Saccharomyces cerevisiae S288C: one gene and its partners. Changing the gene in region 2 together with the main gene of any one other region gives a genetic interaction. Each region holds a gene or a part of one and is shown on either strand. Other genes may lie near its edges.

Region 1 (8,794 bases), on a different chromosome or scaffold from region 2:
CAAACTCGAAATTTACTTTAAAGGTTTATCAGCAACAACATCCGATGCTTGCTGTTTATCTTTTCTCACCTCACAACGTTTATAGTGACTGAAAAATTTTTGCATTCTCACCTCGTCTATTGAATGATGTGCTAAGAACTTGAGCTAACATCACAGAACAAAGGTATGAATATACGCAGCCCTGACATTTGTAGATTTTTTATTTGGTCTCTAGTCTTTTCTTTTCTTATTTTATAACAAATTCGTTAAACGGCCTCCTTCTAATTATATACAAGATGTCTGAAGGTATTACTGATATTGAAGAATCCCAAATTCAAACCAACTATGACAAGGTTGTCTACAAGTTCGATGATATGGAATTGGACGAAAACTTGTTAAGAGGTGTTTTCGGTTACGGTTTCGAAGAACCATCTGCCATTCAACAACGTGCCATCATGCCTATTATTGAAGGTCACGATGTCTTGGCTCAAGCTCAATCTGGTACTGGTAAGACCGGTACCTTTTCCATTGCTGCTTTGCAAAGAATTGACACCTCTGTCAAGGCTCCTCAAGCTTTGATGTTGGCTCCAACTAGAGAATTGGCTTTGCAAATCCAAAAGGTTGTCATGGCTTTGGCTTTCCACATGGACATCAAGGTCCACGCTTGTATCGGTGGTACTTCCTTTGTTGAAGACGCTGAAGGTTTGAGAGATGCTCAAATCGTCGTTGGTACTCCAGGTCGTGTTTTTGACAACATCCAAAGACGTAGATTCAGAACTGACAAGATCAAGATGTTCATCTTAGATGAAGCTGATGAAATGTTGTCTTCTGGTTTCAAGGAACAAATCTACCAAATTTTCACCTTACTTCCACCAACCACTCAAGTTGTTCTATTGTCCGCCACCATGCCAAATGACGTCTTGGAAGTTACCACCAAATTTATGAGAAACCCAGTTAGAATTTTGGTTAAGAAGGATGAATTGACTTTGGAAGGTATCAAACAATTCTACGTTAATGTTGAAGAAGAAGAATACAAATACGAGTGTTTGACCGATTTATACGACTCTATCTCCGTTACTCAAGCTGTCATCTTCTGTAACACCAGAAGAAAGGTCGAAGAATTGACCACTAAGTTAAGAAACGACAAATTTACCGTTTCTGCCATCTACTCTGATTTACCACAACAAGAAAGAGACACCATCATGAAGGAATTCAGAAGTGGTTCTTCCAGAATTTTGATCTCCACTGATTTGTTGGCTAGAGGTATCGATGTCCAACAAGTTTCTTTGGTTATTAACTACGACTTACCAGCTAACAAAGAAAACTATATTCACAGAATCGGTAGAGGTGGTCGTTTCGGTAGAAAGGGTGTTGCCATCAACTTTGTTACTAACGAAGACGTTGGCGCTATGAGAGAACTAGAAAAGTTCTACTCCACTCAAATTGAAGAATTGCCATCCGACATCGCTACTTTGTTGAACTAAGGGAGACAAAAACTTCTTAAAAAAGTATCTTGTGAGGCTATCTTGATAACGTAACATATATTTCTAAAAAGTTATATATGCTTTTTGTATTTAATTTGTTTTTCTTTTTACATTCCTATTATTCTTCAAAGTCCAAAAGACTCTCGGCACGAAGGTTGAAATACCCTATACTAATTGTTTGCTTTGTCTTTTTGTATATATCCGAACGTATCTATCTGAAATTTTTCAAATTTATAAAAAATAATATATATAAAAGGAAAAAAAAAAAAATCGATGCCCTACTAATAGAGATTGGAGCTGAAAAGAAAAAGTGTACATCAAACGCTATATCTCGAGGTTTGGGATGGTTGAGTCAAATGATATTATAAAAAGTGGGCTGGCAGAGAAAGCACTAAAGGCTCTAATTTTACAATGTGAAGAGAACCCATCTTTAAAAAATGATAAGGACATACACATAATCATCAACACGGGCAAAAAAATGGGCATAAACAGGGACAACATCCCCCGTATTATTCCATTAACAAAGTACAAGCTATTTAAACCAAGGGACCTAAACATATTACTCATTACCAAGGATCCCTCTGCCTTGTATAGAGAAACTTTGACGAAAGACGAGCATACGTCGGAATTATTCAAGGAAATTATAAGTGTCAAGAACTTGAGACGTAGATTCAAAGGGAGTAAACTGACCCAACTTTATAAAGATTTTGACTTGGTCGTTGCCGATTACAGAGTTCACCACTTACTTCCGGAGGTTCTTGGTAGCAGATTTTATCACGGTAGTAAAAAATTGCCATACATGATCCGCATGTCGAAAGAAGTAAAATTGAAGCGTCAACAAATGGTCGAAAAATGTGACCCCATTTACGTGAGAGCACAATTGAGAAGTATATGTAAGAATACCTCATACATTCCCAATAATGACAACTGCTTAAGCGTCAGGGTCGGTTATATTCAAAAACACTCCATACCAGAAATTTTGCAAAACATCCAAGATACAATAAACTTTCTCACTGATAAAAGTAAGAGACCGCAAGGCGGCGTCATTAAAGGAGGAATAATATCTATATTTGTCAAGACCAGTAACAGTACTAGTTTGCCTATATATCAGTTTTCAGAGGCTAGAGAAAATCAGAAAAATGAAGATCTGAGTGATATTAAATTGTAAAATTAAAGCATCATCTTTTAAATACGGTATTTAAACACTCCCAATGAAAAAGCGTGATTTTGTCTAACTAATTATAGCATTAATAAAGTGTTTTAAACTTTAATTCCTTTCAAGAATTTGCAAGATTATAGAAATTTAGTAAGCGAAAAAAAAAAAGAAAAAAAAAAGAACAGACACCCTATAAAAATAGAATAAACATAATAAGCCACCATTTGCCTGTCTGATGATATTCTTGATTCTTTATATCTCTTCAGGTATGTGACACCTATACATGCAACGCTTTTTTTGCGTTTTTTCTATACAATAGTTGTTTATTTAAAAGCGTAGGAGCTTCATGCAAATCTGCAAGGTATTTCTTACACAGGTTAAAAAACTACTTTTTGTTAGTCTTCTATTTTGCTTGATAGCTCAAACATGTTGGCTTGCACTTGTACCATATCAGAGACAGCTGAGCCTAGATTCGTATTTTTTTAGAAGATCTCGAGAAGTTTCATCGAGATATGATTTTACAAGGAGGCGACATATGAATCAGACGCTGAAGCTATCTAGCAACACTTATAATGATGAACCACTAAACAAGACCAAGGGAATAAAAAATCAAAGAGAAAATGCTACATTGTTAATGCTTGTGCGTAATTGGGAACTTTCGGGGGCACTCCGTTCCATGAGATCACTAGAAGACCGTTTCAATAAAAACTACCAGTATGACTGGACATTTCTTAATGATGTCCCATTTGATCAAGAGTTCATCGAAGCCACCACAGCCATGGCTAGTGGTAGAACGCAATACGCTTTAATCCCTGCGGAGGACTGGAACAGGCCATCTTGGATCAACGAAACTCTATTTGAAGAGGCTTTACAATTAATGGAGGAAAAAAATATCTTGTACGGTGGGTCAAAGTCATATAGAAATATGTGCCGATTTAATTCTGGATTTTTCTTTAGACAAAAGATATTAGATCCGTACGATTTTTATTTCAGAGTTGAGCCAGATGTAGAGTATTTTTGCGATTTTCCCTACGATCCATTCAAGGTGATGAGGCAGAACAATAAGAAATATGGCTTTGTGATAACTATGTATGAATACGAAGATACAATTCCGAGCCTATGGGAAGCTGTAGAAGAATATCTCGAAGAAACAGAGTCAGCAGATATTGACATGGAAAGCAACGCTTTCGGGTTCGTATCAAATTTCGACTTCATCGGTAAATCTTTTGGTGTCATCGATAGTAACAGCGGCTATAATTTATGTCATTTTTGGACAAATTTTGAAATTGGCGATTTGAACTTTTTCAGAAGTGAGAAATACATTAGATTTTTCGAGTACTTGGATTCAAAGGGCGGTTTTTACTATGAAAGGTGGGGAGATGCACCAGTTCATTCGATTGCTGCCTCACTTCTTTTGAAAAAAGACGAAATCATCCATTTTGATGAATTAGGCTATAAGCATATGCCTTTTGGCACGTGTCCATCTGCATACTACCTGAGACTTCAACAAAGATGTCTTTGTGATAGCAATCACCCAGACAATATTGATCTCAATGTCATCAGCTGCCTGAGAAGATGGTGGAAGGACGGCAGCGGTAAATACTTCCTCAAACACGATTCATAGCGAGAAAAGCGTGTATCCGCATACTATAAATACGTATATATAACAAAGTAACCATCAAGAAAGATGTTCCATACCTCAGGTCATCACCATTTCATGGGTCGCTTAACCGAAAATATCAGAAGCAACCTCTAACGGCGATGGTTTTAAAGATGGATTACCTCAGCACCAACAGTTACACTATTCGGAACCGAAGATTTATCTACGATACTCATTATCCTTTCTCTATCTCACCCTGAAATAATTTATTAAAAATAAACTATGCCAAAGAAGAGAAAAGAGAAAAATTTAAAAAAAACGAGAGCCATTGCAACAGTTTTGGAAGTAAGAATAGGTTGAAAATTAGTCAAAAAGACAAATCCGGCTCCTATAAACCATCAAACAATAGGCTCCCTAAAGCATCACAAATTGTTATGCTTTCTTTTAAGAGAAATGTTTTTTAAAGCATCAAAGGTCCAGGGCAAGAAAAATTCTTTCTGGTAGCAAATGCTATAGTTCACGGCTTTTATAGTCAAAATGTTATATGCGAGAAGAAAAAGAAAAGCGCGAGCTTACTTCGGGTAAGAAGTTCACTTACGAATCAGGGCAAAAGAGCTAATAAGAAGTGAACTAGTTACATAACCGTGTGCTCTGTAGAACACGAGAAAGCTGTTACACAGAACTGTTTTATACCAAGTAGTTCGTTCGATTTGGAAAAGAGAGTAGTCTTTTGCGATGAGTAAAAACAGGGACCCTCTACTGGCTAATTTGAACGCTTTCAAAAGCAAAGTGAAGTCTGCCCCGGTGATCGCACCCGCTAAAGTTGGACAGAAGAAGACCAATGACACAGTGATTACTATAGATGGAAACACTAGGAAGAGGACGGCCTCCGAACGTGCGCAAGAAAACACTTTGAACTCTGCGAAAAATCCTGTGTTAGTGGATATCAAGAAAGAAGCTGGGAGCAATAGCTCTAATGCTATTTCATTAGATGACGACGATGACGACGAAGATTTTGGTAGCTCTCCTTCAAAAAAAGTAAGGCCTGGCTCTATTGCTGCAGCCGCTTTACAAGCAAATCAAACAGATATTTCCAAGAGTCACGATTCTTCAAAGTTGCTTTGGGCGACTGAATACATTCAAAAGAAAGGTAAGCCCGTTTTGGTGAATGAGTTATTGGACTACTTGTCAATGAAAAAAGATGACAAGGTTATTGAGCTTTTAAAAAAATTAGATAGAATAGAGTTTGACCCCAAGAAGGGGACTTTCAAATACCTTTCCACCTACGATGTCCATTCCCCTTCGGAACTGCTGAAGTTGTTACGTTCACAAGTAACATTCAAAGGTATTTCCTGCAAAGACTTGAAAGACGGTTGGCCACAATGCGATGAAACGATTAACCAACTGGAGGAAGACAGCAAAATTTTGGTGTTAAGAACTAAAAAGGATAAAACTCCAAGATACGTTTGGTATAACAGCGGTGGTAACTTGAAATGTATTGACGAGGAGTTTGTTAAAATGTGGGAAAATGTGCAATTACCGCAATTTGCAGAATTGCCAAGAAAGCTGCAAGATTTAGGTCTAAAGCCTGCTAGTGTCGATCCTGCTACTATCAAAAGACAAACAAAGAGAGTTGAAGTTAAAAAGAAGAGACAAAGAAAGGGTAAGATTACTAACACTCATATGACCGGTATCTTGAAAGATTATTCCCATAGAGTATGAGGTTGTTTTGATTAAATCATTTTCGTTTGCATATTAGGTTAAAGAGACTGTGATTATATATACATGCACGTTAGGGTGCAGCATACAACTCAGCTTTATAGTCTACAACGTATTTATAACGAGCATTGGAAACAGGTTACAGGACACCAAAGGGTTTGGGTTTCCAATTTTGAACCCTTGACCAATTTTTTACTGGTGTAGCTCTGTTCTCCTCTTGTTTATTTTTTTTACCTACTGTTCCGAAACTGCTCATTCTCTGTTTCAAAGACGCCAAATCGCCTAGTATATCATTGGTATCAGCCTTTAATGCCGGACTCACTTCCTTCTTCAATGGAACGGAATCTTTTTCCGCAGGAATAAAATCATACAGCTTTATTTCACCTTCATTAAACCTTAATGATAAATTGTCTATGTTTTCCTTCAGTTTTGCCTCGATTTCCACTGTGCTATCAATTTGTTTTCTCCGTTTTTTGTTTCTCCATGAGTTACCAGTAATTTTTTCAGTCTCTAGTTTGGCCAGCATAGATTGGCAAAAATACAATATCAAGTATGACGCATTTTCATCAATAAGTTTCTCCCAATTTTGCCATTTATTTTTAAAATTTTTATTGTTAAGGTTATTTATAATAACATCTAACAGCCTTTTTTGTAGTTCTTTCCAGGCATTGAATTTCCTTTTTAAAATTGTCGTTATATTACTATCATCTTGTTGGGTTCTGTAATTCCTAGCTACCCACTCAATGACCTTCCAATCAAAATTGTTCAAATTAAGCATTAAAACTTTGAGTAAAAGTGGGTCATAATTGTTAAAAAATTTCTCAAGAACCACATTGTGATAAATGGATAATTTCCAAAGTTCTTGCCATTGACGCAAATTTTCCCTGATCATAGTTTCTGATGAACTTGCGTGTGAACTTTTCCTCTTTTCGGCATCATAGTTCACCAAATTATCCCCAGAAAAGTTACTACTTGTAATTAAACTATCGTTTGCATTCTCCCACACCCATTTGTATTCCAGAAACTCGTTTCTAAGTCGCTTCCATTTATCAAGTGTTTTAGTTAATGACTCCATATATTTCTCCAGTTTATCATTTCTTCTGTATCCGTAACCGGTATCATCATCATCGTCATCATCATCCCTGTCATCTTCTAATTCCTCATCGTTCCAGTAGTGATCATATAGCCAAGATAACGCTTCATTGGCGGCCCAACGAAGCATTTCTAATCCAGGTAAATCTCTCTCATGTGTACCCCAGTGTCTCAAATCAACAAACCAGGACGGCAGTCCAATTTTAGCAGCTAATGTGTGTAAGGGAATAGCGAACTGAGATTGTTGCGTTGGATCCAATAAGCCATTGACAAACCGAATCAAAGCCATTACATACGATAACCGGATAGGAATAGAATCCTGATGTACTCCTAAACACGCTTCCTTTTCGTCTAGCAATACCGCACATGTTATTTGTGCTGTAGAGTCCACCACGTGAGGTAAATATTGGGAACCCTTTAGTCGGTAGCTCTGTACTCTTTGCACTGCACGCTGTCGCTTATCTTCAATGGTTCCTTTGCTTTTCGGGTAAAACCAAAGTTTCAGCTCCTCTAGTTCAGCAAAATCCCTCCATGGAACGATTCGTGGTGGTATCATTAGATTGCCCTTTTTTCATTGCTTTCTAGAAATGACTTTTGTTTAAGCTAATTTAGGCATTCTTAGGTATTTTTTTCACTCTTTCTGCGACTGCGATGAGCTTATTAATCTTTCACATTCGGGTAATTTTTTGCATAACAATAAGTCATGAATTTATTGTTGCGATTTTGCAGTGTTATGAGTCTATGAAGAGAAGAAAGAAACTAGAAACCAATTGATACCAGACTTTAGTTGACAACTGATCTCATAATGGGATATGACTCCCAAGTTAGGACAAAAAAACGACATCGAATTACTGTAGTATGCACAAATTGCAAAAAAAGGAAAAGTAAGTGCGATCGAACGAAACCATGTGGAACATGTGTACGACTGGGAGATGTGGACAGCTGTGTCTATCTCACCGATAGCTCTGGACAACCTGAAAGCAGTCCTTCATTGAATGATGCTGACCCTCTGAGGAAACAATCAACTCCTGCGGAACGAATAAGTCCAGGTTTCATTAAGAAAAGAAGATCGTCACAGACAAGACAAGACGAAGATCACTGGCAAAGAGTACGAGAACTTGAAAATCAATCATCACTTTATTATCTACCAATTCATGAAGAAACTCCATTTTTTATTGACCTCATCCCTAATGGGTTTTATTTAGAGACCAAAAGGTCTGCTGATAATTTATTTGGTCTGTTCACGGATAGAGCAATTGAAAATCGCGACCCCTATCTCCAAGCAATGGTAACATTTAGAAGTATCGCAATCAAAAAAATGATGGATAAATTGGGAAGCAACGGCAATAATGTGAAAAATGGAAGCTTGCCTAAATCTTTCGAAGCTTTATCCACTTTCGATGCTGATGACGAACGCCACATTAGCGATGATGTTGTTGGTAAGGGCAATAACTTCCGCATGCATCAGACTATTCACAAATCATTGTTTAACAAATTCGCTCAATACAGAGAAAATAATGCTAAAAAATTCAGCTCAGAAACTATATTAGCAAAGGATTATTTGCCTCCTTTAAAAATACTTGAAAGTGAGGTTTTAGCACTTTTTGAAGAAAAAATTTACAATATGATACCGATTTTCGATATGAAAGTTTTGCGTCATGAAATAACGATATTTTATCAAAATATAGTCGAGAAAGGGAATCCAATTTCTATAAAACACTACGATCATATGGTTTTCTGCATAATCTTGTTGATTATTAAAAT
Region 2 (5,619 bases):
ATTTCCAAGATGAAAATATCTAAAAAACGAGATTTAATAAAGGAGATTGAAACGGAAGAAGGTAGAAAGCACTGCAATATATCACCAATATGAGTGTCCAGAAAATGATGTGGGTGCCTCGAAAAATGGTTGGAGGTAGAATACCCTTTTTCACATGTTCAAAAGTTTTTTCAGGTTTCTCGAGAAGGTCTTTTCATGAGAGTCCACTTGCTCGTTCTACATATGAAGAAGAAAAAGTTTTGGTGGATGAAATCAAACAAAAACTTACTCCAGACGATATTGGAAGATGTAATAAATTGCGTAACATAGGTATATCTGCTCATATTGACTCCGGAAAAACTACTTTCACTGAACGTGTTCTGTACTATACAAAAAGAATCAAAGCCATTCATGAGGTTCGTGGTAGGGATAATGTTGGAGCCAAGATGGATTCTATGGATCTTGAAAGGGAAAAGGGTATTACTATTCAGTCTGCCGCTACTTACTGCTCTTGGGATAAAGAGGGCAAAAACTATCATTTCAACTTGATCGACACTCCAGGTCATATTGATTTCACTATCGAAGTGGAGCGTGCTCTTAGAGTACTAGACGGTGCAGTTCTTGTTGTTTGTGCTGTTTCAGGTGTTCAATCCCAAACTGTGACCGTGGATCGTCAAATGCGTAGATATAATGTTCCAAGAGTAACTTTCATCAACAAAATGGATCGTATGGGTTCAGATCCCTTCCGTGCAATAGAACAACTTAATTCGAAACTAAAAATACCTGCTGCTGCTGTACAAATTCCTATCGGATCGGAATCAAGCTTATCTGGTGTCGTTGATTTGATTAATAGAGTTGCTATTTACAACAAGGGTGATAATGGTGAAATTATAGAAAAAGGGCCAGTGCCTGAAAATTTGAAGCCATTAATGGAGGAAAAAAGACAACTTTTGATCGAAACACTTGCTGATGTGGATGATGAAATGGCAGAAATGTTTTTGGAAGAAAAGGAGCCTACCACGCAACAAATTAAAGATGCTATTCGCAGATCTACAATTGCTAGGTCTTTTACACCAGTTTTGATGGGATCCGCACTGGCAAATACTGGTATTCAGCCCGTTTTGGACGCTATTGTAGACTACTTACCTAATCCCTCTGAAGTGTTGAATACAGCTCTAGATGTGAGCAACAACGAAGCCAAGGTTAACTTAGTTCCTGCGGTGCAACAGCCATTTGTTGGATTGGCATTCAAATTGGAAGAAGGCAAATATGGTCAATTGACTTATGTTCGCGTATATCAGGGGCGTTTAAGAAAAGGTAATTACATTACAAATGTAAAGACTGGTAAAAAAGTGAAGGTTGCAAGATTGGTCAGGATGCATTCTAGTGAGATGGAAGATGTTGATGAAGTTGGCTCAGGTGAAATTTGCGCTACTTTTGGTATTGACTGTGCTTCTGGAGATACATTCACTGATGGTAGCGTTCAATACTCTATGTCATCCATGTATGTTCCAGATGCTGTTGTCTCGTTATCGATTACGCCAAATTCAAAGGACGCATCGAATTTTTCGAAGGCTTTGAACAGATTTCAAAAGGAAGACCCTACATTCAGAGTGAAGTTCGATCCTGAATCTAAAGAAACAATTATTTCTGGGATGGGTGAATTGCATCTGGAGATTTACGTTGAAAGAATGAGACGTGAATATAATGTGGACTGTGTCACGGGTAAACCGCAGGTTTCCTATAGAGAATCTATCACCATCCCGGCAGATTTTGATTATACACATAAAAAACAATCTGGTGGCGCTGGTCAATATGGTAGAGTTATCGGTACCTTATCTCCCGTGGATGACATTACCAAAGGCAACATATTCGAGACCGCTATTGTTGGTGGCCGTATACCGGACAAGTATTTGGCTGCATGTGGTAAGGGTTTTGAAGAAGTATGTGAAAAGGGACCATTGATCGGTCATCGTGTTTTGGATGTTAAAATGCTAATCAATGATGGTGCTATTCATGCCGTGGATTCTAATGAATTATCATTCAAAACAGCTACTATGTCAGCCTTCCGTGACGCCTTCCTGAGGGCACAGCCGGTGATCATGGAACCTATCATGAATGTTTCAGTAACATCGCCAAACGAGTTTCAAGGTAACGTCATCGGTTTATTGAATAAATTACAAGCAGTAATACAGGATACCGAAAATGGTCATGATGAATTTACATTAAAAGCAGAATGTGCCTTGAGCACGATGTTCGGTTTCGCCACCTCATTAAGAGCCTCGACTCAAGGTAAAGGTGAGTTTTCATTAGAGTTTAGTCATTACGCTCCAACAGCGCCCCATGTTCAAAAAGAATTGATATCTGAGTTCCAAAAGAAGCAAGCGAAGAAATAGTCAAGTCCTCATGGGCAAAACAGTCTTGTAAATAACAAATTCCAATAAAAAGGAATTAACAAAAGGCAGGAAATAAAATTAATATACACACTAATTAAGTAAATTTAAATAAAAAGATCTTTCTGTAAATACACGAATGAAAAGAAATTTTGAAGAATATCATTATCTAGGAGGTATAAGTATCATCCGTCTTAATTTTATCCAAAAGATCCTCTATCTTAGGGCCCATCAAGGGCTGGCCTGTCCTTGTTCTTTGAGTCAATTTCTTCTTTCTATCTTCTCTCCTCTGAAATTTTTCCTTCGAAACTCTGATTCTTTCCAATTGCTCGTTTCTTTGCTTGTTTAATTCATCTTTTTGCATTCTCTTTCTTTGTTTCTTGATCTCCTTCTTCTCGTCTAGTTTCTTCTTTCCCTCTATTGCCCTGGCTTCCTTAATCTTCCTTACAGATTCTTTTGCCACGGTTTTTGGTTCCTTTTCTGGTACGGCATACCCTTCATCTTTTAAAGCTTTAAGGTATTCCTTTCTCAGTCTAGTTTTCTTTGTAATACTTCTTTGGATCTCCTTAACCTTATACTCCCTCGTAAACTTCTTTCTATTTTGATTTTGCTTGGCTGTACCCATATTGATTTTGCTCAGTTGCTTACTTGACCACCTTCCTGTATCATTCTTGTGAAAGCACTTTTAATACTATCGCGATGAGGTTTGATTTTGAAATTTTTCATTGTTTGAAGGAAAAGTAACTTTTCGGGCCAATAGAGAAATAAAAATAAAAAATCATGTAGTGTAAGTTAAAGTGGGATTTCTAGGTGACGCTAACGCAGCCTCGATACCCAGGAAAGAGGCCGCAATAGTGTACAAAGCTTCGAATTTAAGTGATTAAGGGTGTTGGAGTATACTGAAACACGCTTTTTGGCCATTATGAAAAGGTGTGCTCCTGCCGTATTAAGAAATTATAATTATAAGAAGGGTATATGGAGTACCGGCGTACCTGATCATATAAGGAAGCTGCTTCGAGATAAATCGACGTCACCATTATGCTCACAGGATGAGAGAAACCTGGTCTCATATTTTATGGCGCGCGGAAGTGTTCCTCTAAAGTCGGTTGGCAGTGGATTAACAAAGAAAGCAACAACATCAATAACAAGTAATTCAGCTACCACAACATTTGAACGACAGTACCTTATAAAGTATCTTTATCGGCACCAGGCCTATGGGAACGTTATAAAAATTGCACAGAAGTTTCTTTATACCACTATTGGTTCACAAAGATTGTTAAAACAGGATGCCTCATTACCTGAATTGAAAAAGTTCCTTCTCTCTTTATTGATTTTACAAAGAGGTATTCAATTAGATCAGGCAATCTCTGATATCATACAACGGTTTCTATTAACACAAAAGACAATGGTGATAGACCTCATTAACTCGATTTTCTCTAGGATGGTTATAATGAATATGCATGAAGAAGCTGTATATAAATGGGTCAAATGGATGAAACTAGTGAATGGACATTGTGAATTTACGAATTATATGGAGAACAAGATAGTTTTGAGAAACTTTTTATCATTCATGAGGCAATCAAATGTTCGCCCCGATTATTTATCTTATTTGAAAGCAATTCAGCTAACGCAAGGGCCCGCAATAGCGTCTCAATTTGCAACTACGTTGTTGTTCTTATTAACTTATATTAGGAAATTTTCTTCTGCAGAAGCAGTTTGGAATTACAAGTGCGAACATAACCTGCCGATAGTGAGTTCTGACCTGACGTGTATTCTAAAGACGTATTGTCACATGCAGAAGTTTAATTTGGTTTCGTCAACATATTGGAAATACCCTGATGCTCAGCACGACCAAAACCAATTTGATTATCTTTTGGTGGCTCATTCTAGGCTGCATAATTGGGACGCCTTACAACAACAGTTCAATGCTCTTTTCGGTATCGGTAAGCTACCTTCCATACAACATTATGGTATTTTGATGTATACTATGGCCAGAATTGGTGAATTGGATAGTGTCAATAAACTATATACACAGTTATTGAGGAGAGGTATGATACCGACATACGCTGTTTTACAATCTTTACTATATGCACATTATAAAGTCGGAGATTTCGCAGCCTGTTTTAGCCACTTCGAACTATTCAAGAAATACGACATAACGCCTTCAACAGCAACGCATACCATAATGCTTAAAGTGTATCGTGGTTTAAATGACCTTGATGGTGCGTTTAGGATATTAAAAAGACTAAGCGAGGATCCTAGCGTGGAAATCACGGAGGGGCACTTTGCTTTATTGATACAAATGTGTTGCAAAACTACGAACCATTTAATCGCTCAAGAATTATTCAACCTTATGACTGAACATTATAATATCCAACACACTGGAAAAAGTATCTCTGCATTGATGGATGTATATATTGAGAGTAACAGGCCAACAGAGGCAATAGCATTATTTGAAAAACATTCAAAGAATTTATCTTGGAGAGATGGTCTAATTTCAGTGTATAACAAAGCCATCAAAGCTTATATTGGTTTACGAAATGCCAACAAGTGTGAAGAACTTTTCGACAAGATCACAACCTCAAAACTGGCTGTAAACAGTGAATTTTACAAGATGATGATAAAATTTTTAGTTACACTGAACGAAGATTGCGAAACGGCATTGAGCATCATAGATCAACTAATAAAACATTCTGTAATCAAGGTGGACGCTACACATTTTGAAATAATAATGGAGGCATATGACAAAGAGGGTTATCGTGACGGTATAATTAACTTGTACAAGACAATGTCACAGAATAAGGTACCAGCGAATTCCAAAATTTTATATTATATATTGAAGGCCGTTGCCAAAAAAAGCCTACAAAATAATGAGGAAATCAAGGAAACGATTAATATGGTAGAAGACATCATGGAAAATGCTGCCAATGGAACTCTCGACGTTACGTATAACAAACTGCATCCCTCGGTCATGGCATGGCCAATGAGAATGATTGTGAAACATGATAGCCCACAGCGGGCTTTAGAGTTATACAACCGGTACAATGAGCTTTTCTTCAAAAAGCATGATTGGATATCAAATAATAATAAATTTGTGATGATGAGATCATTGTTGGTATTACTAGCTCAAATTGAACAATGGAAAGATTTCGAAACACTTTTCGCTAAATACATGGATCGTATTGAAAACATTGAAAACTTGCCATCATCTACAACGCCAAATATTAAACTAAGAAGCATATTCAGC
Region 3 (8,603 bases), on a different chromosome or scaffold from region 2:
TTGTTATACAGAGACTGACTATTGCTTCGTCTCAAGCTTTGTAAAAGGTACCCACCCTTCTTGAAGTCACCAGAGTTAAAACCAACCTCTTGGTTTCGAGAGGTTGAAGTCTCTCAAAATGTAACATTTAACTATAACATCAGTCGTATGTTATTACTGGATGAAAGATACTGGTATCACTGCTCTTTGCTTCGCATGCTGTCACAAATTGTCGTTGTGAGCTCTCTTAGTTATTTGAATTAGTGATAAGATATTCACATATCTTACTTGCTTCTTCTTACATCAAAGAAAAAACATAAGCATGATAAATAAAAAATGCAAGATCCGCTCTCAAATTCTTTACAACGAATTCTTTGTTTAGACTAAACGATAAAGAAATTCTTCTGCAAACATAATCAAAGAAACTGTGCAGGAAATGAGAACGGCAAGAAAAATATTGGTGGTGCAGTTATGGACTGACTATCCGTATTCCGACATCAAAATGATACCGTACTTAGTAGATTTGCGCCATTCAAAATTAATACGTACCTGGGCTCCACCGCCACAAATTCCCGCGACGTTTATCTCTCCCCTATGCAGCATTAATATCTTCTAAAAAAAAAAAAAATTTACAAAACACCTAATCCAATCATTTCACCAGATTACCGAAGCGTTTGCGTTAAATGTCCTGCTACGGCAATCGACAAAGTAGACCCACTCTATTACTACTGTTTGTTTGGTACTTAAATTGCTTTTTGTTAGCGAAGAGATATCGACGATGCACACGTTATTGATAAACATCATATACGCAAAGCTTCGAATTAAAAACATATTCTTGAGAACAGGTAAATTCCTTGAGCATAAATCATCAAAAAAAGAAAATAAATTCTGGAAGCGGATTAAGTGTGTGATCTCATAGAACTGCCTTAAAAATCTTGAAGCCAGTCAAATTTTCCATAAATCCTTGGGTTCTACTCATGTAATCAAAGCGAGGATAGCCCACAACTTTCACAAGTTCGATTTCGCCAACAAATAAAACAGCTTAACTGCTTTGCTATGTTTCCTCAACAATCGAACTGGCTGACGAGTAGAAGTCTGGCATTATGTGGAATCACTCACTGCACCAGCTATCTCTCCAGTTACTAGTTGTATTCTCTGTCAGCAGTCGAAATGACTTTTTTAATATCAATATGGCAAAAAAGTAATACACACTGTTAAGAAGTTAACAAACATAGTAAATAGTGTTTCTCAAAGTGAAGCCATTTTTGAAAAATCCAGTTCACTATAAATCCACTGTGCCAGTAGAACAGTTGCAAGAGTCCCAGTCCATAATAAAACGCTGGGAATGATTCCAGGCGTTGACTTGAACACAATTGCCAAATTTACTCAGATGGGCTGAGCCCGTAACAAATAACGTCAACAGGCCAGTAAAGGTTAGGATCCGGGGTGTAACTAATTTGAGAAAGAAAATGTCACTATTTTGCGCACAATAATCACAAAAGAATAGCAAATTCAGCTCTTTGGCTACCTTCTTCTTTTTTTTGTCCAAAAACATGGAAACATACTATGATTACCATTTTGTACCGACGAAGATACAAATGACACCAAAATCTTCGTCAGAAAACACTAGGTTATCGCGCAAAAATTTCTAGAAGTATGGTACCAGAATATTGCACTACTTAGCCGGGCCACATAGTAAATTTTTCTCAACACCAGGTACTGGAGTTAACACTAGGAACCGAAAAGCCAGTTTTTTTTCTTTCTTAGATATGATCGAGATAGGTTTAAAGAATTAATGTTTGAGCAGATTAATGCCCGACCTTTGTCATGTATTGTTTGATATCTTCAACGGGATGTCGGACATTATGTCAAGTCAGATACCATACAGAAATCTCTATCGCTAGCTCGTAGGCAAAAGGTGAACGGCAATATCTAGTAAAGACTCTTTAAACAAAATAGTAATTATTATGGCAGAGATGAACCATTCACATAGGAACAGGAACAGCCAATGGATTTTTCATTATTCTGAAACCACAATTAATTCATGATTTTGTTTCGGTGCATTTATTCTTTCATTAATGAAATTCCCATGCTAACTTATGTATCGTTTTTGCAGTGCAAGCATCCTCCTTGACAACGCATTAAATATGCCTTAGTAATCCATTAAAAATACTGTTTTCATTCTTCCACAATATTACACCTGCTAGATTCAAATACAGGCTATGAGGAAGTGAAGCCAAAGATCGAAACGTGGAGAAGGGTCCGTAGTTATCTCTTCTTTGTTCAAAGTTAAGAAAAAGCTACCGGTTTACCGATATCACTGGACGATGGAAGAAGAATGCAGCAGCTCAAGTACATATTTTACAAAAAAAAGAGTATATTAGTTCATTATATTAATTTCACTAACCGCATCAAACTAGGAGATATCAACCGTATTGTATGTTACCTTGGGCGGGCGCTCTAAAAATACGTGAAAGATTTCGCGTCAGAGAAATTTCTCATAGATTAAACGTAAACAAAATTCAGATGGTTCTGCTCGAGATAATAAAGTAATTCATAGAACGTTAAGATTTATTTTTACATCCTCAAAAGGCGCGAGGCATCTTGATAATTCTTTCTATTGCGATACTTCGCCATGCTACTAAATGTAACGTCTTCGCAATACATAAGCACACCTCAATCCAGAAGTCTGAGTGAAATTGACACGTCAGAAACCGCCAGCTTATCATCAGCTACAGACCACATTTTTGCATTATCCACTGAGGTTGTATCCTCAATTACGACGAACCTCATTGAGGGTTTAGAAAGTTCGATTCAGGTCCCCATATCAACCGCATATGGTACGACTTCCTTCCGCAACAACACTTCAAGTCCACAATATCTGGTTAGCAATTGCACTTCCTCTGTTCAAAGCAATATCACTATCGATAGAGGACTGTTAAGTACATTGAAGACTTTCACTACTTCACAGGTGCCAACCATAGAGCCTTCGACGACTAAACTAACAACACCATTATCTACAACATTTACCTCAACCTCTACATCGGAAATATACTCCGTATTCACCAGCGAGAACTCAGTTTATATCATCTATGACCAAGAATACAAATTTACAGAGCGATCGACAACATTTAACACCCACTTTCCCCAAACAACTGTGCTTCAAGAATCAAATCCTCCGTTAACTTTCACCATTCCATCCAATACCATTACCGGGGATGCTAAACTTTATCAATATCTATCTGGTGCACTAAACACTCAAGATACCTCAGATGCCAATAATAGAAGGACCGGAGTTATTGTCGGTTCTACGGTTGGAGTTGTCATTGGAGTTGTAATAGTAATTTTTATCGGATTCATAATTATTAGAAACAGACGAAACGTGAAAAATCACAGCAAAAAGGGCTTTAGCCATGATATTGGCAAGAGGGTAAGTTGTGATGAGGTAACAGAAACAGAAGCACCGTCAAATCCGTTCCTAAATGTCCTTAATTATAAAGTAACAACCAACGGCGAGGGCAAACGAGATTCCTTTGAAAATGGTAGAGATTTACACAGAGCTAGTTCCTCAGACGGTATATATATAGCACATCCTTATTATGGGATGGCGGATCACGAATCCGGGAGATTTTCATACGTATCGTCATACAATGAATCTGCGGAGTCATCCATTGAAGAAACAAGTTCCAGTGCGTCTACTATTACTCGGCCAAATATTCAGCAAACCAATAGCTTTTTGAGAGAAATTATTTAAAAATAGAAAAAAGTGGATTCCAAGATTTTCGTACTTCTAAACAAGGCTGGTACTTGTTGCTATTTCTTTGGAATTATTTGTAAATTTATGCACGAAGCAGATAGAGTTTTATTTATTCAACAGTATTTATATAATAAATATTGATCTTACTATACAACTAGATTCGTATAATCGTCTGTTTCGTCACAGACGGGAAAAGAGGGACAAAAAGAGAAAATGTTAAAAATATTATGGCCTATTTTTTGGCGTTCTTCCTCTTTTGAGCACCTTTAGATTTGTTATCATTCTTTTTCGCATTGTCAACTTTCTCAGTCTTTTTACCGGCATTGGCAGCTTCTCTTTCTTCTTGAGCATAAAACTCCTTTAATCTTTTTTGCAAATCCCAGTTACTGTACCACAAACCAATTTGTAGGATGATAACACCGGCAAACATAACTAATAAAATTATGTTGGAGGAAGCAATAACTGCCAAACCCTGATTTTCCGTAACTTCTCCCCAATTATGGCTCACAGAACAGTCGATACCTGTTTTCACATTAGTGAGAAACACACAGATAGCCAACACGTACAACCCCAATGAACAATACTCAAACATCTGCAGTTCAGGGTTTGGCTTGAAAACCTTAATTGTACCACCAACTAAGCCAATACCGGCAACAACGCACAAAGTAACAATCACCGGCAATGGAGTCTCATGTAAAATTTGGTAATGTCTCAGTGCCAAATCGAAATGCTCTTGAGTAGAGTTAGGATTAAATAAAAGATGATAATCGTATGGCATGTTACTGAAGAAAACACCCATTAGGAACGTTGTGGCCGATAAGATCATGGCCGTACCGATAGAACAGAAATCTGAATATGAGAACATCGTTAGAGTTTTATCGTATCACGGGATTTTATGCTCTGTAGTCCAATGAATTTACGGCTGTCTTCCAAAATACTTAAATCTGTCCTTTCATCAACTTTTTATATTTTTCAGAGTTTTTACACAACCCGAAAAAATTGTTATCGTGTATTAATTTTAGTACATTATAAAAAAAGATGGAGAGGGAAAGAGCCACCAATTACATTGGCGAAAGGTGATGGTGTAAAGTAACGGCAACCAAAAACAATTATGGATGGAAAACTTGGTATGAGAGTACTATTATTACGAACTCCACATTAACTCGATTCACCAAGTCCTTTCCCCATACGTTTACCCGGCATTCCTGAAAATTTTCTAAGATTTTTTTCTTCTTAATCGATGAGCTTAAAAGGTTTTCTGAGAAAATGAGAAAGTAATCTAATGTAGAGGACAGGATAGAGATTGAAGACGTCTACAGCTAAAATGGGGTCCGAGGAAGATAAAAAGTTGACCAAGAAGCAGCTCAAAGCTCAGCAGTTTAGAAAAAGTAAGGAGGAAAAAGATCAAGAGAAAGACGTAAAAAAAGAGCAAGCACCAGAAGGAAAAAGACCCAACAGTGCAGCCGGAAATGATGGTGAAGAACCCGTGAAGAAAAAAAGAAAAACACGTAGAGGCCGTGGTGGTAAGGGCAAAAATGGTAAAAAGGGCAACAGATTTATTGTCTTTGTCGGTAGCTTACCTAGAGACATCACTGCTGTTGAATTGCAAAACCATTTTAAAAATAGTTCACCCGACCAGATCCGCCTCAGAGCTGACAAAGGTATTGCATTTTTGGAATTCGATGCTGACAAAGATCGCACCGGCATTCAAAGACGTATGGACATTGCCTTATTACAACATGGGACCTTACTGAAAGAGAAGAAGATCAATGTCGAGCTAACTGTTGGCGGAGGTGGTAACAGTCAAGAGCGTCTAGAAAAATTGAAAAACAAAAACATCAAGTTGGATGAAGAACGTAAAGAGAGGTTGACAAAGATGATTAACGACGGCAACCAAAAGAAAATCGCCAAAACTACCGCCACTGCAGCTCAAACCTCTGGAACAGACAACAAGCCTGTTCCTGCAGGAATTCATCCTGATAGAGCCAAACTACTTAAATGAGTACAAATTTAATTTTATACGCCATGTATCTTAGACAAAAAGAAAATAAAGGGAAAAACATAAATAATCGTGCAGAATCATGCTACTGCCAAAAAAAGAAATGGCAAAGATGCCCAATACGTAAACTCTTCCGGAAGCAATAGCGCCGCATTATTACCGCTGCTCTATTTCACTTTATCATGAAAGACGAGACGGCTGGTACTTTTTTTTCCCCAAATCGGAGCTACTTTTCCGCACTTCAAGTCCGGTGGGAATTTTTACTACTACCCCTTAATCAATGCACTCCCCCCGCAATGACGTACAGGGGTAACATGTCTAACATTTAAGGTTACGGCTGTTAGCATATTGGGGGTTATTTGAATTATAGGAACGCCAAGAAAAAGGACAGAGGGTAAAAACATTCTCGGTGCTGCCGGATTGCTTATTAAGACGTATCCGTTAAACAATCTCCGCTTTTTTTTTTGTCTAACAGCCGGCTCTCTTTGGCTAGTCTCCATCCCTTCGTCACCTTCGGCTGTGGTCACACAATAAGGAAAGGTGCAAAAAAAAAAAATAAATACGAAAATCTGGAAATTGAATTCTTTTCATTAACATTCATTCACTCACTGAACTTATTGTCAATCGGAACATATTTCCTTGCCTTTATGAATTTTTGAAAAGAAAAAAGTTAATAGGAAAAACTAGATAGATTGCAAAAACGTTCACAATAGCGTACGTAATCCTTTTACTTATCATACGGAGTGATGTCGTTGTCTAGAATCCTGCGATATAATCAGAGAAATAACAAAACTACAGCTTCCTTGACTGCAGAACACGCCTATTCCGATAATTGGGCATATTCCGTCTCGTTAGGCGATCCCACTAGTGTTGGTGTGAATATGGCTGCTAAGACGGGTGAGGCGCTAAATAAATCATATGATTCCGTTTTTTCTTCTCTCCCTGTTGCAGATAGTGTACCTCGGACAGACTTTACTGCATCTTCCCGGGATGATGAAAACACGGACGTGCAAAAGCTGACCACTTCCTGGATGGAGAAAATTGACACGAAGATGCCCGAAAACATATCTAAAATCGACTCTAATATTATTTCCTCTCCCATGGTCAGTAAGGTTGAAGCAAGATTTATTGTTCCTAAAGGAAGATTGAGGAAAAATTCTACCGATTTTACGTCATCTTTCTCAAACTCGTTAAGTTTACCCAAAAGTTATGGCAAATTAATTTTCTTTACATCAAAGAAAAACAGCAGTAGTACCAAAAAAAATCTAGCGAATGATATCAGTGATAACAAGCATAACAACAATTCTTCTAATACTATCGGTCACAATATTCCAGTCACGACAGCCACGGCGACATGTGATGAGATTGCATGCACCTCCACAGAACATGAATATAATGTTTATGAGGAAGAGAGGATGTTCACTACTCGTGTATATTCTCTAGAAGATTCGGTCTCTTCACTGTCCACGAATCCTCTCGACGACACGTATTCAGAAGCAGTGCAAGTAAATACAAGACATATCGAGGACACTGAAAGCACGGCCCATATAAGAAAACACTCCTATACTACGTCATTGTCAAGTATCAAAAGGCTCTTCAAAATAACGTCTTTTAGCAATAACAACAGTAACTCATGCGATCACCAGGAAAGCACAGTTGCAGATGATTGCGCTATATCATCATCATTGAAGGAAACAACTTCTTCGCCAGTCTCAACTGGATCATTCTCTCTCATGATCGAGAATGAAGACAGCGATAGAGATCAGATTATTCAGGCTTTATATAGTAATATTGAAGCATCCACTGACTTGGTTTCCAGGAAATATAGAGATCTCGACGTTGTTCTCGGCGAAGGTTCTGGTGGTAAAGTGAAACTGGTCCAAAGGGTCCTGGATAATAAAGTTTTTGCATTAAAGGAATACAGGTCAAAGAAAAAAAGGGAATCTGAGAGAAAATACATCAAGAACATAATTTCTGAATATTGTATTGCCTCCACATTGAAGAACCCAAATATTTGTGAAACATTGGAAATACTGTATGAGAAAGGTAAAATTTTCCAAATTCTCGAGTATTGCGAATATGATTTATTTTCTTTGGTTATGAGTGAAAAGATGCATTACGAGGAAATATGCTGTCTTTTTAAACAGCTGATCAACGGCGTAAAATATTTGCACGACATCGGTCTCTCTCATCGTGATTTGAAGCTAGACAACTGCGTTGTAACACGAAGGGGAATCTTGAAATTGATTGATTTTGGCGCTTCCAGTGTCTTCCACTATCCATTGTCTTCACAGATGATTGAAGCAAATGGAATTGTTGGTAGCGACCCCTACTTGTCACCCGAAGTCTTTTATTTCAATGAGTACGATCCAAGAGCACTTGACGTTTGGTCCGTGGGGATAATATTCTTTTGTATGATAACGAGAAGATTTCCTTGGAAATATCCCAAAGTGAAAGATGTTCAATTCAAGGCATTTTGTTCCGGAAGAGGTGTGTCATCTTTTAAAGATCTTGTGACACGGCCTGCTACCGATGACAGCAATAATTATGATAATGATGGCTACGAAGAAGGAGTCATTGATATGGGTCCCAATTTCATTCTGCACAGACTACCAGAAGAAACTCACAAAATAATGAGGCGTATACTGGAAGTTTCACCTTTCAGAAGAATTACCATAAACGGAATATTACAAGATGGCTGGATCAAAGAAATAGAAACGTGTCAAGTTGTGGGCGCGGCAAGCCCAAATGAGGCATCGCTTCGAATAATAAACAAAGGTAATCACATACATACAAACATCGATCAACGATACGCCCACATTGGCGGCCTGCATCAGCGAACGTAACTGGAAGAATAGCAATGTCATA

Evidence for each region.
Region 1: mutations in FYV7 (region 2) and UTP30 together harm fitness more than expected from each alone (negative genetic interaction), as found in Saccharomyces cerevisiae (2 studies listed by BioGRID).
Region 3: mutations in FYV7 (region 2) and NOP6 together harm fitness more than expected from each alone (negative genetic interaction), as found in Saccharomyces cerevisiae (2 studies listed by BioGRID).

The regions. Positions count from the first base shown.
Region 1 is NC_001143.9:554,712-563,505, forward strand, and holds UTP30 (Utp30p), read left to right. Parts: upstream 1-1,806; coding exon 1,807-2,631; downstream 2,632-8,794. Other genes in the region: TIF1 (translation initiation factor eIF4A), read left to right, coding at 276-1,463; mannosyltransferase KTR2, read left to right, coding at 2,966-4,243; transcription factor TFIIE subunit TFA2, read left to right, coding at 4,955-5,941; rRNA-processing protein LAS1, read right to left, coding at 6,078-7,586; OAF3 (Oaf3p), read left to right, coding at 7,836-8,794. UniProt on the Saccharomyces cerevisiae protein: Involved in rRNA-processing and ribosome biosynthesis.
Region 2 is NC_001144.5:268,386-274,004, reverse strand, and holds FYV7 (Fyv7p), read right to left. Parts: upstream 2,998-5,619; coding exon 2,542-2,997; downstream 1-2,541. Other genes in the region: MEF1 (Mef1p), read left to right, coding at 90-2,375; PET309 (Pet309p), read left to right, coding at 3,295-5,619.
Region 3 is NC_001136.10:74,424-83,026, reverse strand, and holds NOP6 (Nop6p), read left to right. Parts: upstream 1-5,060; coding exon 5,061-5,738; downstream 5,739-8,603. Other genes in the region: YDL211C (uncharacterized protein), read left to right, coding at 2,615-3,733; SHR3 (Shr3p), read right to left, coding at 3,969-4,601; serine/threonine protein kinase PRR2, read left to right, coding at 6,482-8,581. UniProt on the Saccharomyces cerevisiae protein: Predicted to be involved in rRNA processing.